Linked DNA regions of Lepisosteus oculatus. The protein of the gene in region 1 interacts with the protein of each later gene in a pairwise test. Links are inferred from orthologs where the notes say so. Each region holds a gene or a part of one and is shown in the gene's direction. Other genes may lie near its edges.

The links. The genes of interacting proteins can lie anywhere in the genome.
Region 2: the proteins of npat (region 1) and hinfp interact in a two-hybrid assay, tested with the Homo sapiens proteins (2 studies listed by BioGRID). The link is inferred for Lepisosteus oculatus from reciprocal best matches to the Homo sapiens genes NPAT and HINFP.

The regions. Positions count from the first base shown.
Region 1 is NC_090700.1:683,924-691,241, reverse strand, and holds the start of npat (protein NPAT), read left to right. Parts: upstream 1-4,296; 5' UTR 4,297-4,441; coding exon 4,442-4,478; intron 4,479-5,075; coding exon 5,076-5,194; intron 5,195-5,498; coding exon 5,499-5,559; intron 5,560-5,647; coding exon 5,648-5,726; intron 5,727-6,330; coding exon 6,331-6,371; intron 6,372-6,993; coding exon 6,994-7,254; intron 7,255-7,318. Other genes in the region: serine-protein kinase ATM, read right to left, coding at 445-683, 763-928, 1,115-1,279, 1,397-1,542, 2,263-2,384, 2,699-2,770. UniProt on the Homo sapiens protein: Required for progression through the G1 and S phases of the cell cycle and for S phase entry. Activates transcription of the histone H2A, histone H2B, histone H3 and histone H4 genes in conjunction with MIZF.
Region 2 is NC_090718.1:11,533,478-11,540,675, reverse strand, and holds the start of hinfp (histone H4 transcription factor), read left to right. Parts: upstream 1-4,194; 5' UTR 4,195-4,252; intron 4,253-4,270; exon of another isoform or gene 4,271-4,562; intron 4,563-5,278; 5' UTR 5,279-5,290; coding exon 5,291-5,447; intron 5,448-6,020; coding exon 6,021-6,247; intron 6,248-6,911; coding exon 6,912-7,026; intron 7,027-7,168; coding exon 7,169-7,198. Other genes in the region: dpagt1 (UDP-N-acetylglucosamine--dolichyl-phosphate N-acetylglucosaminephosphotransferase), read left to right, coding at 115-270, 987-1,052. UniProt on the Homo sapiens protein: Transcriptional repressor that binds to the consensus sequence 5'-CGGACGTT-3' and to the RB1 promoter. Transcriptional activator that promotes histone H4 gene transcription at the G1/S phase transition in conjunction with NPAT.

The DNA.
Region 1 (7,318 bases):
TCACAGCACCTGAAAGCTCGCAGTCCACTGCTTTGGCTGTGACAAAGATCCTGATGCCAATACATTGTGAAACTGCGGCTGAAGCTAAAATAAATATCAAATCCATTGCAGGCTCATCAAAGAGACAGGCCAATACTGTACACACACCCTCTTTCACATCATACCCAGCGTGGCCTCTTATTGGAACAGCTTATTGGAGATCCCACTCAGGGCACACGAGTCTCTCCGGGACTCTGCAGCACCTGAGCTCCTGGCGTCTTCACAGTCAGAGTATTCCAGCCTGGCCTTTAAAGGTTCAAATTTCATGAAAGCCCTCTAAATATACCAGGACATGAAGCTAAGAGTAGCTTACCTTAAAGTTTAAGAGTAAAACTAAATGTGCAGAAACAAAGCAGAAGGTAACTGGAAATCTGCTTGGACTGGTGGGCCACGGCCTGGTCTCACCTGTGGCCTGCGTCTTGGCTCCCTTCGGATGGTGGACGCGTAGCTGCAGGTGGAAGAACCTCACGATCTCCTCCTTCAGCAGGTCCTGCGGCCGCCGCTGGGCCCAGACGCACAGGACAGAGGGCAGGAGCTCCTCCCCCAGCCCGCAGACCCGTGTGCGGCAGTTCACGGCCGAGGCCCTCAGGAAGATGTTCAGAGCAGCCAGCAGGTGCTCCAGGACAGCCAGGTACTTCTCCCTCCTGCACGAGGCACAGAACACACGCTCAGACGTCACGGACCGCAGGGCAGGGCTCTCCTCGGAGCAGCGAGGTGCGGTACCTGGCGTTCAGCAGCGCTCGGGAGAAGAACTTGAAGAGCTTGTGCACCAGCCCCTCTGTCTGCAGGCAGCAGCCCCTCACCAGGGTGTGGATGATCCTGCTCACCAGCACGCGGTTGATGGCACTGGAGCTGCTGTTGTAGAAACCGCAATACACCTCCAGCAGCTCTGGACAGGAGAACACAGGGAATCAGCACTTCAACACGGCACAGCAGTTCTATTTCATTGTTAATCTTTCCAAGTACAGACTCTAATTCCACCCTGACTGCTGAGCTGAAGTCGGAATGGGGAATATATTAGTCTGGGCTCACACACTTAATGGAGTGGAGCTCAGGTGCTGGTTAAGGCACCTACCAGCCCACTGATGCTGTGTGACCTCACACCAGTACTTGCGGACAGACAGGATGTCCTTCAGCAGGATGCTGCTGTAGTCCTCTCCATAGGCACTGCAGGAGAAGGAGCTCCTGAGGACGCCCACCAGGTGAGCCAGGAGGTCCGTGCACTTCAGGCGGGGGCCTCCTGCGAAAGGCAATCGCTCCAATGTGTGAACAACGGGCAGGGAAAGGAGGCAGGAGATTAAGCAAGCGGTCAATGAGCTGCCAAAGATCTGTGTTGACTTAAAACATGGTCACTTACTTTTGTTTGCACATCTGATGAAAAATTTGAGCAAGCTGCTGACTTCCTGCATTTTTTTGTGCCTGTTTGCTTGTGTGGTGGCGGACACATTGGCCTTCCCAGTCTGCAGCGCCTCCGTTTCTCTCTCCACGTACCGGCGCAGAACCCTTCAGGGACGAGAGCCGCTGCTTTGTCAGATTCGCCTGGGCCGCAGTTAATTAAAGCATCCAATTTCTAAACCGCACGTCCAGCAGGGGCTTCTTAAACACCCCTTTCGCTGCAGATGTCACTACGCTCGGCCAGACCGCTGAAATCGCGACCCGCTCACACGACTGAGAGCCTGGTGGTAAAAACGGGGGAGCTGGGCTTTTGTTTTCTGACAAGTTCAGAATACTACACACTGGCCGTCACTCGTGGGTTTACCATTGTCTCCTGCAAGGCCAGCAGAGGCGCCATCCTGCTTGTGCTGCTCTGCTACAGAGCAGGTAAGACCCTGCAGCTGCCCTGGCAGTACAGTGCAAGAACACAGGAGCACAGCGCACTGGGGCTTCTACACGAGCCAGTGAGAGCTGCGGCTTGTGCAAGAGGCTTTACGTGCATCTTCGCCATTTTACAAGGCATTCCCCCTCAGCTACAAACAGAGCACCTCCAGGACTCCCTGTGAGCACTGTTCCAGACAGGAGCACTGCTGGGCTGCGTGTGTGTATAAACCAAATCGGCGAAAGGGTGGGTGCACAGCACAGTTAGGCTGTGTGACAGAAAATCCACAACAAGGCTTCACAACTAACACACAGGAAACATCCTCAGTGACTAATGCGACCTGGAGCAGACCGGCATGAACTCATCACACACGGTCATTCATTCGGGCTCATTTTAAGAGCACCTACCCAAAGACAGCATCCCAGGTGAGCTGTTTGGAACCCTTCGCTGCTCTTGAAGAACTGGCTCTGTCCAGGGCCTCAACTGTCTCAGGAGACACGATGAGCCGCTTAAATTTATCCGCTTCTTTCTGCAAAATAACATTGACAGGTGGACTCCTAAGAACATTCTGCTAGTGGCAACTGATTGTTTAATCTACAGCTGTTTAATACATCAAATCCACACTATTGTCAAAACACTCATTATGTCAGGGAAAATGCTTCATAGGAATGCCAAAAGTTACTCACTTAAAAACAAATGTATGAATGAAAGAAAGCTTATTACATTCTCAGACTTTTTCAGCTTCCTCATTAACCTTTGAACCTTTGAACATCAGCACTGAAGTGATCTGGTCACTCCTGAGCGACTCACGCCCCTGTCCTGCACAGAGGTGAACGCATCTACCTTCCTCTCCGTGGCCTTGTCGCTCTCCAGCCCACGGCAGCACATCAGGAGCTCATGCAGCAACAGGCTCATGTTGTCCTCAGGGTGGCGCTGCACTGGGGGCCTGCAGAGGCAGACAGGGGAATCGATGTCGAGTACTGACGCCGCACTGACAGTGCAGGAGCACAGAATCGAACTGGAGAAGCGTGTGTGGGGGGCGGGTTGCAGACACAGGCCTGTTTTGATTCATTACACCCCTTCAAAGTATGCCTTCTGATCACAAACACAAACGATTCTATACATAAATCATTCCATTAATAAGGGTTTCACATTAATGCAGTTTAAACGTTTTTGGTTTCGTTTTTTAAAGTGCCCAACCCCCCATCCCACTGAGCTGTAAGGAGCAGTCCCTGAGATCCTGCTAAGATCTACAGCGCACACGGGCGATGAGAGGACCACATTGCCGTCTGATGACCTTCCACACCAGCCGGACGGAGAACGCAGTATTACAGCAGGAGTAGCACTGCTTCAGGTGCTTCAAGTCCAGGAGTCCCCGTCTGCCTTCAGAATAGATCGGCGATGACCGTGCTAGGTGTACACGTTCAACAATCACAAGCGAGCTACACACACTTGTTTAGATCTGCACGGTATTACCAAAAACATACGATCAAGATCCAGACTTTAAAGTAAAGTAAGCTAGCTATGCAGTCTGATTAAAATTGACGTCAAATCATCTTAAACTACTAAATGATTCTCCGCATCTAAAAATCGCTGGGAACTGGGTACCTATTCACATACCTCCTTATATAGCTTTCTTTATTTCACGACAGGGCCGTGTTCTGACGTTCACTTAAACTAAATCCCAAGTACTGTCCACTATAAAGACAGCACAGCACGCACAGCAATACAAACACAAACCGCGCCTCCCCAACTTCAACTTCATTTCCGGGTCGTTGCGAAGACGGGCGGTTCCGCTAGCCAATCACGGCCCCAGTTCCTGAGATAGCTCCGCCTCCCCAGTCCCAGCGAGGCAGGGGGTCTCTGGTGCAGGAGCTGCAGACTGGAGCTTTAAACGCACTGCCACTGTATTTTTAATCCCGTTGAAAAAAATACAGAATATCATATCATTTGTCATAAATTTAATCATGACACTTACATAAAATTAAACGGTCTGGGAAGAGACCCCCATTTGAACAGTTCAAAACACAGCATGTCTCCAGACGTTTTGCTATAAGCGTAAGAATATACAATCTGTGCGTACCTTGATTTATCTCATTTAATTATTTTGTAAAATGCAGCTGTGTTATGTACCCCTGACGATGTTATGTATATAAACTCTTGTCTGTATTGTATATATTATTGTTGCAATAACATTTTTGATAAAAACATTTCCACTGACAGAATATCTGTTTGGACCTCTGATTTATTTTATGCCAGTTTCCATTGTTACGCACAATTAACGTTTTATATAATATTCTGAACCCAAGAGCGCTACTATATGTTAATACATTATCCGCCATGTAACCCTGTCTCGCGTACTGACATTGACTGACCGAACACCCGAACTACATTTCCCATGCAGCCTTTTAGGCGAATACTTCCGGGTGAAACGTGCTGAATTTCCGCGCTTTTTCTGCGGGTGGGTGTTATTGGGAGTTGTGTTCAGCTGAGCTGAGAAAAAGTATAACGGCTCAAATGTGTGCTGTTCGGTTTTCTTTCATGACTGTGCGTATGAGGGCCAGTTGAAAAGGCTTCACAACAGCCATGTTGCTACCATCTGACATTGCGAGGCTGGTTTTGGGTAAGTTGGAGGGGTCGCAGCGGGGTCTGTTGCGGGACACAGGCGTGTAGCCGGGGAGTTTGCTCTGCGGTCGCAGCTGAGAGCTGTGTTGATCACAAAGGGCCCCTGCAACACGTACTGTACCAGAGCCTGTATCTGGGGGACAAGAGCATGGTTAGCTAAAGAGCGTGTCTTTCACTGTGTAGATAACAGAAAGCACTGCATATAATATTTGATGCATGATATCGATACCACTGGGTGTAAGCTGTCTGAAACAACGGTGGTCGGAGTACTACCACCTAAAATACTAAATTACACACCAGGTACGTGTTAATGTCAAATTCCATAACGACTGTGACGAAATTATTAATACTGGGGAAAAATGTCCAGTACATCAGATGTCAGATTTTGATAGTATTCCAGTGGCGTTTATGACCTTGCCAAGATTTCAGTTGCAAGGACGTTATCAGAAATCAGTCATGTCCGAACAATTGTGCATAATTCGCTTATTGACAAAGGATGTGTATTTTTGGATGCATGCCCTGGTGAGTTGATATTGCTTTGAAATTCCAGTAAATGAAGTAAACCGAGTGCTTGTTTGTTCTGGGGTGCGCCAAGGGTATCTCCAACAGGAGCGCCTGACTGCCACTTGCCGGGCGTTCATCAGCGAGAGTCCGGACCTGAAGGAGTACGCGGAGCACAGCACCGAGGACGGAGCGATTCCTGCCTGCGTGTTTGTGAGTGCTGTCCGATCTCAGCAGAGCCCCTCGCCCCTGTACGCTGTAATGGAAAGACTTGTGGAAATTCGGCATCTTATGGCATGCACATGCAAAATTTCACTCTTTATTCTCTGCGAAAGTCTCACCGTACCTAAAGCTCTCATTAGCTGTCTGAATGAAATAGCTTGCGTTTCATGTGCTAGATTTGTTTTCATGAAAACAGCATACACAGTGTGTTAGACATCTCTAATCTGAGCAGTGTGCTCAGATTTATCCTATGTTTCCCTACGTTCTGTTTTATCATGTTGTTTTGTCTTTGCAGTCTTTGTTTGGGAAAAACCTGAACACCATTCTGAATGAATACGTTGCCATTAAAGCAAAAGGCAAGTACTGGAGGTTTTAAAATAACTTCAGACTCAGAGCTTCATATGTTCATGTTTTGTTAATATACAACTGTTTTTTTTTGTCAAGAATGCAGCCAGGAGTCACAGGTACCTGCTATGATGACGTCGCTCTGGAGGAAATTAGATTTCACTCTGAATCAGATCAGGTAAAAGGAAACTTTAACTGGATTTCTGGGGGTGGGGGTAAATGGAGCCTCTTGTTTCAGGATATGCAACCATAAGAACTTGCTCCCGGAGACTGTCGCAGCAGCGGTGTTTTTACCAGAGCTGCAGAATGGAAGAAAATCTTGTAGATAAACTGTCATGAGCTCCTGACATCATGCAAACAATTTCTTGTGTCACCTGTGTTACGAAAAAACTACTATGGCTCAGGAACCAGTCCAGGGTAGAGTAACCATATACATTGCTGGACCAGCGTACACCCTACACAGACAGACTAGAACTGAAGCTTTGTAGGCTTCAACAGAAAGAGGCATTGACAAACCCATCCCAGTGGAATTCTTCTGAACAGAGTGACGCATTAACCAGAGGACGTAGGTTGAAACTACATTTAAAACTAGGAACCGGGGAGTCTGTCATAAGTATCCCATTTCTAAAGAAATGAAATATTATAATTTGACACATTCCAAATTTTGCAGGACTGTCAGATATTATCTTGGCATGAGAATAGTGAAATGTAAAATGAATAAAGATGTTTTTGAGCAAAACTGTTTTTCAGGATGGCTTAATGATGTCTATTGCTCTCACTAGGTGTATGCAGAACTCTCCAAGCATTTACAACAACCAAAGATGTAAGCTGGCCTTTTCATTTTTATTATTTAAATACAGTTTATTTTTTCTGTCCGGTATCTTTTCACTGCATTTTAGATTTTAGGAAACCACAGGTCTTTCATACCATAATGAGTCTGTCAAATGGATTTCTCAGACTTGTAGGAGAAAAGGGGAAATTGAAGGTTTAGAAAAAAGATAACTGATTTTTTCCTCTGCATGTTTATGATAACCCTCTTATAAATGTCTCCTTCCATGTCGGTCTCAGACATTCTGGAAAGTTCTGTCTTGCATTCGCAGATGTTCCCATATTGAAAAGAAAAGCATATTGTATTGTTTTCTTAGCTAAAATTGACCATCGTTTCATAATGAATCAGATCCTGCACAGTCTGTTGGCATTGTAACTATTCATTGCTTCTGGCTCTTTCAATATTAAAAAAAAAAAAGATTTGATGATTTTTTAATCTCAAACATTCTTGACTTTGAATTTTTATTCCCCTCTGCCTTTTGGCACATTTACAGTATCAGCCTGTACTTTCAGATCTTTGTTCTCGGGTGTCTGGCACCGCTTCTCTCTTTGCGTGCGTGTCCGTGTGCTCATCGGAGCTCTCACCCCTGCTGTGTGCCCGTGTGCCCATGTTGCAGTTCGCACCCGGAATGGGATCCTGAACGTGCGGCATCAGAGAGCTCAGCCCTCCCCGCCGGCTCCGGGCAGCTCCGGGCTGCTGTCTGTGACTCCCTCTCCCGGCCAGCACAGCCCCAGCCCCAGCCCCGTGTGCGTGCCTCAGGCCATGCTGGGGTGCTCCACTCCCATCTGCTACAGCTCCCTGCACGCGAGACCCTCCCCCCTGTGCGTCAGCCAGTCTCAGGTCCAGGAGCGAAGCAGGGCTGTGCTCAACGTGAGCAGTAAGTGGAACACCGAGGGGTCGTGGTGAACATGTAGTTAAAGGTTTTGTTTTGTGTTATACAT
Region 2 (7,198 bases), on another chromosome or scaffold:
GACTGAGGGCCCATCGTTTCACGAGGGCCCCCCAAGGCCTAGCAGTTCTCCAGACCTTCTGTAGCGTGTACCTTGTTTCCTAGTCTCCAGCAGTTTCCCTTTTCTGTCCTGCAGGGAGCGGAGGTGGTGTGGCTGGTGGAGGTGCAAAGAGGTGGGGATGGGGAGGACGAGTTCATTGAGTGTAACAACATGACTCTCATCAACCTGGTGATCAAGGTGCTGGGCCCCCTGCATGAGAGGACGCTCACTGTCATCATGCTGCTCATACAGGTGACCTAGGGGCTGGGGACAGTGTCACTCATTCAAGGTTCCTCTCTCTGATTGTGTCCTATTTAACCTTCCTTTCATTCAGCTGTCTTCCTACTTGTAAGTTAAATGCATCTTCCTCACTCCTTAATATTAACCCCATATTTTTTTTTCTACAGTATACACATTTACGGACATTTTGGGTAGCCTGATTACAATCCCTTTCAAACTCTGGGCATTTATGTCATTAGGGGTTCTCTGACGGAAGCCTGCAAGCTTTATAATTAATACAGTGCTTGAGCCAGCACGCCAGAGGTGGCATTAAGGTGATGATAGGAAAAAACTGTGGATTTAAATAAGTAAGCAGCTGCCTCAGATGGTATGTTTTTCCCAGGGCTACCTAACGGTGAAGTTAAAAGTAAAACAGCTAAATCTTATCATCTGTAACACCTGTTTTTAGGCCTCCTCACTGTTTAAATTAGAATCCACATATATATAACTTGATTTGAGTGCTTAATTTTTCACAATAACTGTTGCTCCCAGCTTTAACCAGTTGCTGATTAAGAGATTCCAATTAAAACCTGCAGCCCCTAACGATCCGAGTTCATCACCCCGGTTTAAATACTAATTGCCCCCATATTCGCCTCTAAAGTGTGTTAGCCCAGTCTTAATGAGGAAGCGTGATTCCCCCAATTGGTCATTCTGACCCCTGACCTCTGGATGACCTCTGACCCATGCAGGTGTTGGGGAGCGCCGTGGCCTTCGGGATCCGCTACCACCTGGTGCGCCTCTTCTACGACGTCTAGACGCCACACAGAGGGACCCCTGGGAAAGGGTTGGGAAGAGAAAAATCCACATTTGTCTTTTTTTTTTTGTTTGAAAAACGTAACTGTCTACTACTGTGAAAATCCTGAATGTTGTTTATGTTTGTTTGATTTTTTATTTACTCCTTGTATCTTTGTTCCTGATCGGGTGTTAGTGTGGTGTACGTTTCTGACGTCGTTGCAATGTTCTTAGCTGCTCTCTGTCCTCGCAAGTCAATTTGCTCATAGCTGAACTTAGATGTCATGAGATGATTTGGACTTTGGCGCCTGCAGCTTAAAGAAGGAAGTCAGAAACCTGCCTATCAAACCGCTGGAATAAAAGTGAGTCCTGAAGGGTTTTGTTTTTGTCTGGCTTAATCTAGACCCCCCACCCTACACTTGGGTCTGTGCCATCTTCGTCCCAGGTCTGTCTCTGTTGACTGCTGTCGTCCAAGATGAGCCCCCAGCAGTCCAGGAATAAGAGACTGAGTCAGTCACACGCCTGGGTGAAAACATGACGGCGTGGCCTACTAACAGCCCTTTTCCATCTCGTATCCAGATGGGTGGCCACAACTAGGGATAAAAACAGAAAATGTTAGTTATGGGAACCATCCAGCATGTATACACAGATTTTCAAACTCGACATGCCATAAAATTATGAGTTTAGAAAATGTATCATACTAATTTTGGATTAAAGTATTTTTCTAATGTGCTCTGCACATTCATCACCTTATTTATATGCTTTGAGTATGTTGTCTTCATCTTCTGTGTCCTTTGCTAATGTCGATGCATTGCCAGCCCAGATCTTAAAGTTTTTACAACTGGATTCCAGTTTGTATCTTTTTAAGATATACAGAAAAGCGGTCAGACCTGGGGCATTCATCTCTTCTGTTAGACCAGTGCAGCTCCTGGAGGGTCTGTGTGGCCGCTGGCTCTCTAACACACTTAGGCGTGACCTGTTGGACTGGGAGACGCCTTGGCATTAGTCCAGTTAAGTCAATAATCAGGGGCTGTACATAGGTGAGAGATGCTGGAATTAAAACCTATAGCTGCACTGGCCTTCTCCTGCTCTGCCACAAATCGACAACGCTGTGGTATGTAAACAAAAAACATTACAGATGTTAGAAATAACGAAGGCATCATCAAATCACCTTAAAGTGGTTTGTGTTTTTGACCTTTTCCACCTTGAATATTTAGCTCATGAAGAAATTAATGAAATGCTTCGCCCCCATGATGTATGGTTTCTGTGCTACTGTAAGTATCCCTTCCAGTTAACCCTTGAGGATCTGGGCCACTTCTACGTGTAGAATTGACTGCAGCTTCACCAGCCCAGTGACTGTTGCAGGTCTGTTCTATCCTGATCCCGGAGGTTCAGGATCTGCTGGTGTTCACTCCAGCTCAGGTCTTAAAGTGCTCAATCAGCTAGTTTCTTAGTAAGGCCGCCCAATTTAACAGCTTCTTTCAGCTTTATACTGTAGGTGCTGCTTCTTTAAAGAGATCCAGAAAACCTAAGCATAGTGACCATCCAGGACCAGGTGTTGGACATCCTTGGAATACAGGCTTCTGTCTAAACATTTACAATCATGAGTCTCCAACATCTTACTGAGCATTGCGCCGTCCTGAGTCGCAAACAACACTGAATATGAATATGCAGTCCATTTGACCCCATTGAATGACTGTAAGTAAGAAACAGATATAAGTGTAAGCAATTATTATCATCGTCATCATCATCATCAAGGACCTGAATCAAGCAGTTATCAACAGCTGCAGACCTGTGAAAAGTGTTCTATTGATCCAGTTTGTTTCATTAGATCATTACAAGTACAAGCAGCAGAACAATTATCTAACTGGCAATCCAGGAGCCTCCAGGTTTTACAGGATAAGGGAACTGCAGGCTTTCGGCACCTCCCACCTCCTAAATAGTTTAAGGTCCCAAGGTGTAAACCATTCCAGAAAGCCAGACTTCACAGGCATTATGAACTGGTTGGCTCTGGCAGCTGTATCGCAGGAAAGCTTACAAGCAAAAGATCCACTGTGCAGACCTGATTGTTTGCAGTGAAGTAATCTGAAAATCGTATCCAGCCACTTCTCAAATGCCAGAATATCACTTTTGCAGTTAAAAAGTCTTCCTGAGTAATATATGCATTTCCCTGACTACCAACAGATCACCAACCTAGAATAAAGTGGTCACATGGAGCATTAACTGTACTGCATGTAGTTCAGGCACACTAAAAACCAGACCCCTACAGTGCTGAAATGCACTCCTTGTCCTGGAGGGGAAACATGTCTTCTGCTTTTCATTCCACCCTGGAATCTTAATGGCCTTCTTCAAATCAGCTGAAACTAAGAGATGATCTGTATTAGCACCGTTTGTAGGTTTTACTCACTAAGATAACCCGTGAAACCTGGTAGAACCCAGGCAAAGGAGCAGAATATAGTACAGTGTGAAACTGGCTTTTCAACATATCTGAAACCATTTAAGTAACATCAGTGCATATTTTCAATTTTGTCAATACAATTATCTTATCAGTTTGAAGATTTTTTTAACACTTGTCCATATTGTAACGTTTTAAATGACCAAGTTAGTTGTCATTCTATTGCTTTTCACTGTTGATGCACTTTCCAGTTTCTCTTGGCAGACTAATAAGCAGGCATATGTTGCCCGTGAGGGTTTCCATTTGAAAGATTCTCCTGAAACCCGTGCTCGGTACGCTTGGAAAGGCAGTGCATTGCACAAGTTAACCACTTGCTAGCGCGTATTAGTTTTTTCGTGAAAAGATTTCATCAATCCCGATATTTCTCGCCCAATTCATGACTTCATGTGTGGGACAACACACACAGTACAACCCCCATTTTCTTGAATATGTTCTTCAACTAATGATGTTAATTCAAATAATAATAATAATAATAATAATAATAATAAAGCTGTTGGGAACCTCATTCAATCACATTCATTGACCCTAGTTTCTCGGGGGGAAAATCTAGCAGACGTACTGTTTTCCTTCCTAAGACTTCTATTGGTCCTGAGCATGTATCCGGTTTATCCAATTAGCTACAGCAGCAGTTAAATGCACCTTCCCATTGGACAGGGCGTTTGCCAGTTACGATAAGCTTTCAAACACGATTGGTTACAGCTGAAAGTGGGAGTCGGTCAATGTTGAATTGTGCGGGAGAAGGGGGTGGACACTTGAAGTGAGGTGGAGGTAGGAACTGGAAATGTTGTTTTTTTAGCATCTGATATTTAGTTTGGCTTTCCCTTTTCAATTATGTGATTTTATATCACGTAAACGTTTTTCTTAGAGATTGCATAGTGGTCAAAAGTGCTTTCCGTTGTACCTAAATGCCCTCACGATAATATTGAGTTACTTATAACTCTGGCGAGGGTCTGACACGATTTAAAAGTTAAACTTCCTTCTGTTGTATAAAATAATGTTTATTAGCATTAAGAGAGGGGTTTCTCGATTGTTGAATGCAAACGTGCATATCGCCGTGTTGAAATGAGTCATTCATGCCGTAAGGAAAGAACCGGTTTTTCAAATCAGGTTTTCTGCAGCTAACAATATTTGATAAATCTGCCCATAATGCGATGTTGTACAGTAGTTTAGAATCGCGTATATCAGGGTTTGGATGCATTTGCATTAAGCATCGAAATTTTAGGAAAGCATGCCTAAAATAGTATGTAGAATGTAGAAATATTATTGTTTATTTTTCCGTAAAACATCAATACAGTACGGCTCGTCACTTCCTTATTAAGAAATCGTGCTGCATTTGACAAAATCAGGCGGTCTCTGGTGTGGAACCAACCGTGTAATGTGGGATTTTAATCATTTTCACCCCTAATCCCAAAAACTCGTGAATTGTGTGACTTTCCAATACAAATGAATACAGCAGGGAAATATACTTTCCCGTCGATATCTATTTTAAGTGAGGGTTTGTTGGAAGTTATTAAAAGACTTGTTCTTTTCGTCTATTGGAAAAGAAATACTGTATATATATATATTTTAAAAAATATATGCGCTTAATCCGGACGACTAATGTTTAAAGTGCTGAAGTATAGCATATAAACAACTTAAAACTGCAAAGTAATGTGCAATTAACTTAATCTGACATCGTCGTGGAAAGTTTCTAATGTTTTAGTGAACGTATATGGGCACCACGATTAAGAGCTGCGTGCGACCCTCTGCCGGCAGAGCTCGGTTCTGATGGGCTGGTGGTTCTGCTCTTCCCAGGGCCCAGATGTGATGGCTCCTGGAAAGCGTGCGAGGAGGGAAGAGGTGCAGTTGGGCTGTGAGTGGGGACCGTGCCAGGCCACTTTCACCAGGATGGAGGAATTCTGTCAGCATGTGGGGGAACATCTGGAATCTCTGCAGCTGGAGGCCGAGGAGAGCGAGATGCTGGGTGAGATTTTGGGATTGGGAAGGGGGAGTGTCTCATACCAGGTGCTTCTTTTACTGGGTGATCTGTAAAGGCATTGTAATTCGGAGAGATGTGGGACAACTCTGCCATCAGTGGAGAAGATTGTAAATCTCACAGCAGCATCTAGATTTGAAGAAGATTTTTTACAGAAGCTTGTTGGTGCCACGGGGGGAAAAAATGCATTTAAATGAGATAACATTGCTTTAAAATGAGAAACAATTTTGCGTTTAAACTAGTATATTTTTCTCTTGTGGTGCTAAAAAGCTTCCATAGGTTTTAACATTTGCGTTTAACCGGTTAACTGTATTTTTACAGTTTTGTCTGTTGCGCACTTGATGTCTGAATAAAAGGCTTGTAATGCAGAGTTAAAATAGTGAATGTTTTATGAAATCTAAATTGATGAGAGCTGGATATAGAATTCACTAAAATAAGGCTGATCTCTCGCCGGAGTGTGCAGGTGAAAGGAAAACAGTTCCAGTGGAGCTGGGGTTTCAATGCTCGGTAGAGAGTTTCACAGTCCCACGCGGGGCGTGTTTGCTGGTGTTCCTGTTCCAGAGGAGCGCAGCTGTCTGTGGCGGGACTGTGGGTTCTGCTCGCTGGAAAACCCCACGGAGCTGGTGAGGCACATCTATTTCCACTGCTACCACACCAAGCTGAAGCAGTGGGGCCAGAGCATCCTGAAGAGCCAGCCCGACCTGGGCACTTGCACCCTGGACCTGCAGAACCGCAACATCGTCCCCGAGATCCTGGATAAATTCCTGTGCCAGTGGGAGCACTGTGAGGTGAGGAGGGGAGGTGGGATGTATCCCTCTGTCCCGAGGGATTGGGGGAGCAGGGACTAAGGGGCTGTGGGAGGGGGGAGGAGTACAGTGTGTGCAGCCTAGCAGATTGTGGGATGGTGGGACTTGGCCTGCAGCATGAGAGAAGAGGGATCGTATGGTAGGGTCTCGGCACCTGCAAATTTAACATTTGCAAATTCGCTAGCTCACGATTCGGTCTGGCCGACGAGGTCTTGTATGCAGCGCGGGGAATGACAGGCTGGAGATGACAAGCTCACTGATAGTTTTATTGCCCTTTTCTTGACACGGGCCGAGAGAGAAAGCGCAGGCATCCACTGAATGCAGAGGAGGGATTCATGTTGCTTATGTTAGTGGATTACTATAATTTTGTGATTACTGTTGTTTGCTTTAGTTCATCCGAGCTACTTTAACTTAAAGCCAGTACTGTATATGGAAGGGTACCTTATGTCTTTTAATCTTACAAACTATATCTTGTAGTACATAATGTGGCAGTATAGGAGTGGACTTGGTAACTTTTATATGTGAACGTGGCTGTTAGCTAATGTTCTCTGCACTGAACCCTCGCAGATTTTGAGACCCTGCCGTACAGAGTTAAGTGAGGCTGCCCACAGCGTGAATCATACGAACTGTTTTTACTTTTCTCTAGCAGGCCTCCTTTGAGAACCCGGAATGGTTCTACCGCCATGTGGAAATGCACGGCCTGTGTATGGAGCTCAAGTCCACCAGCAAGGAGGAGCCTGTGCTGCGCTGTGGGTGGAAAGGTGAGGGTGAGATTCCCTGAGGCTTTCCTGTGCGTTCGCTGGCGCTCAGTCTCTCTGCTTTTCTCTCTTTGCTTGCGGAGGTGGGGGCGTCTCCACTGGGCCCCGGCCTGCGCGCCTGATGGTGGTCTGTCTGTCCTCCCAGAGTGCGAGGCGACCTTCAAGGGCCGGTTCA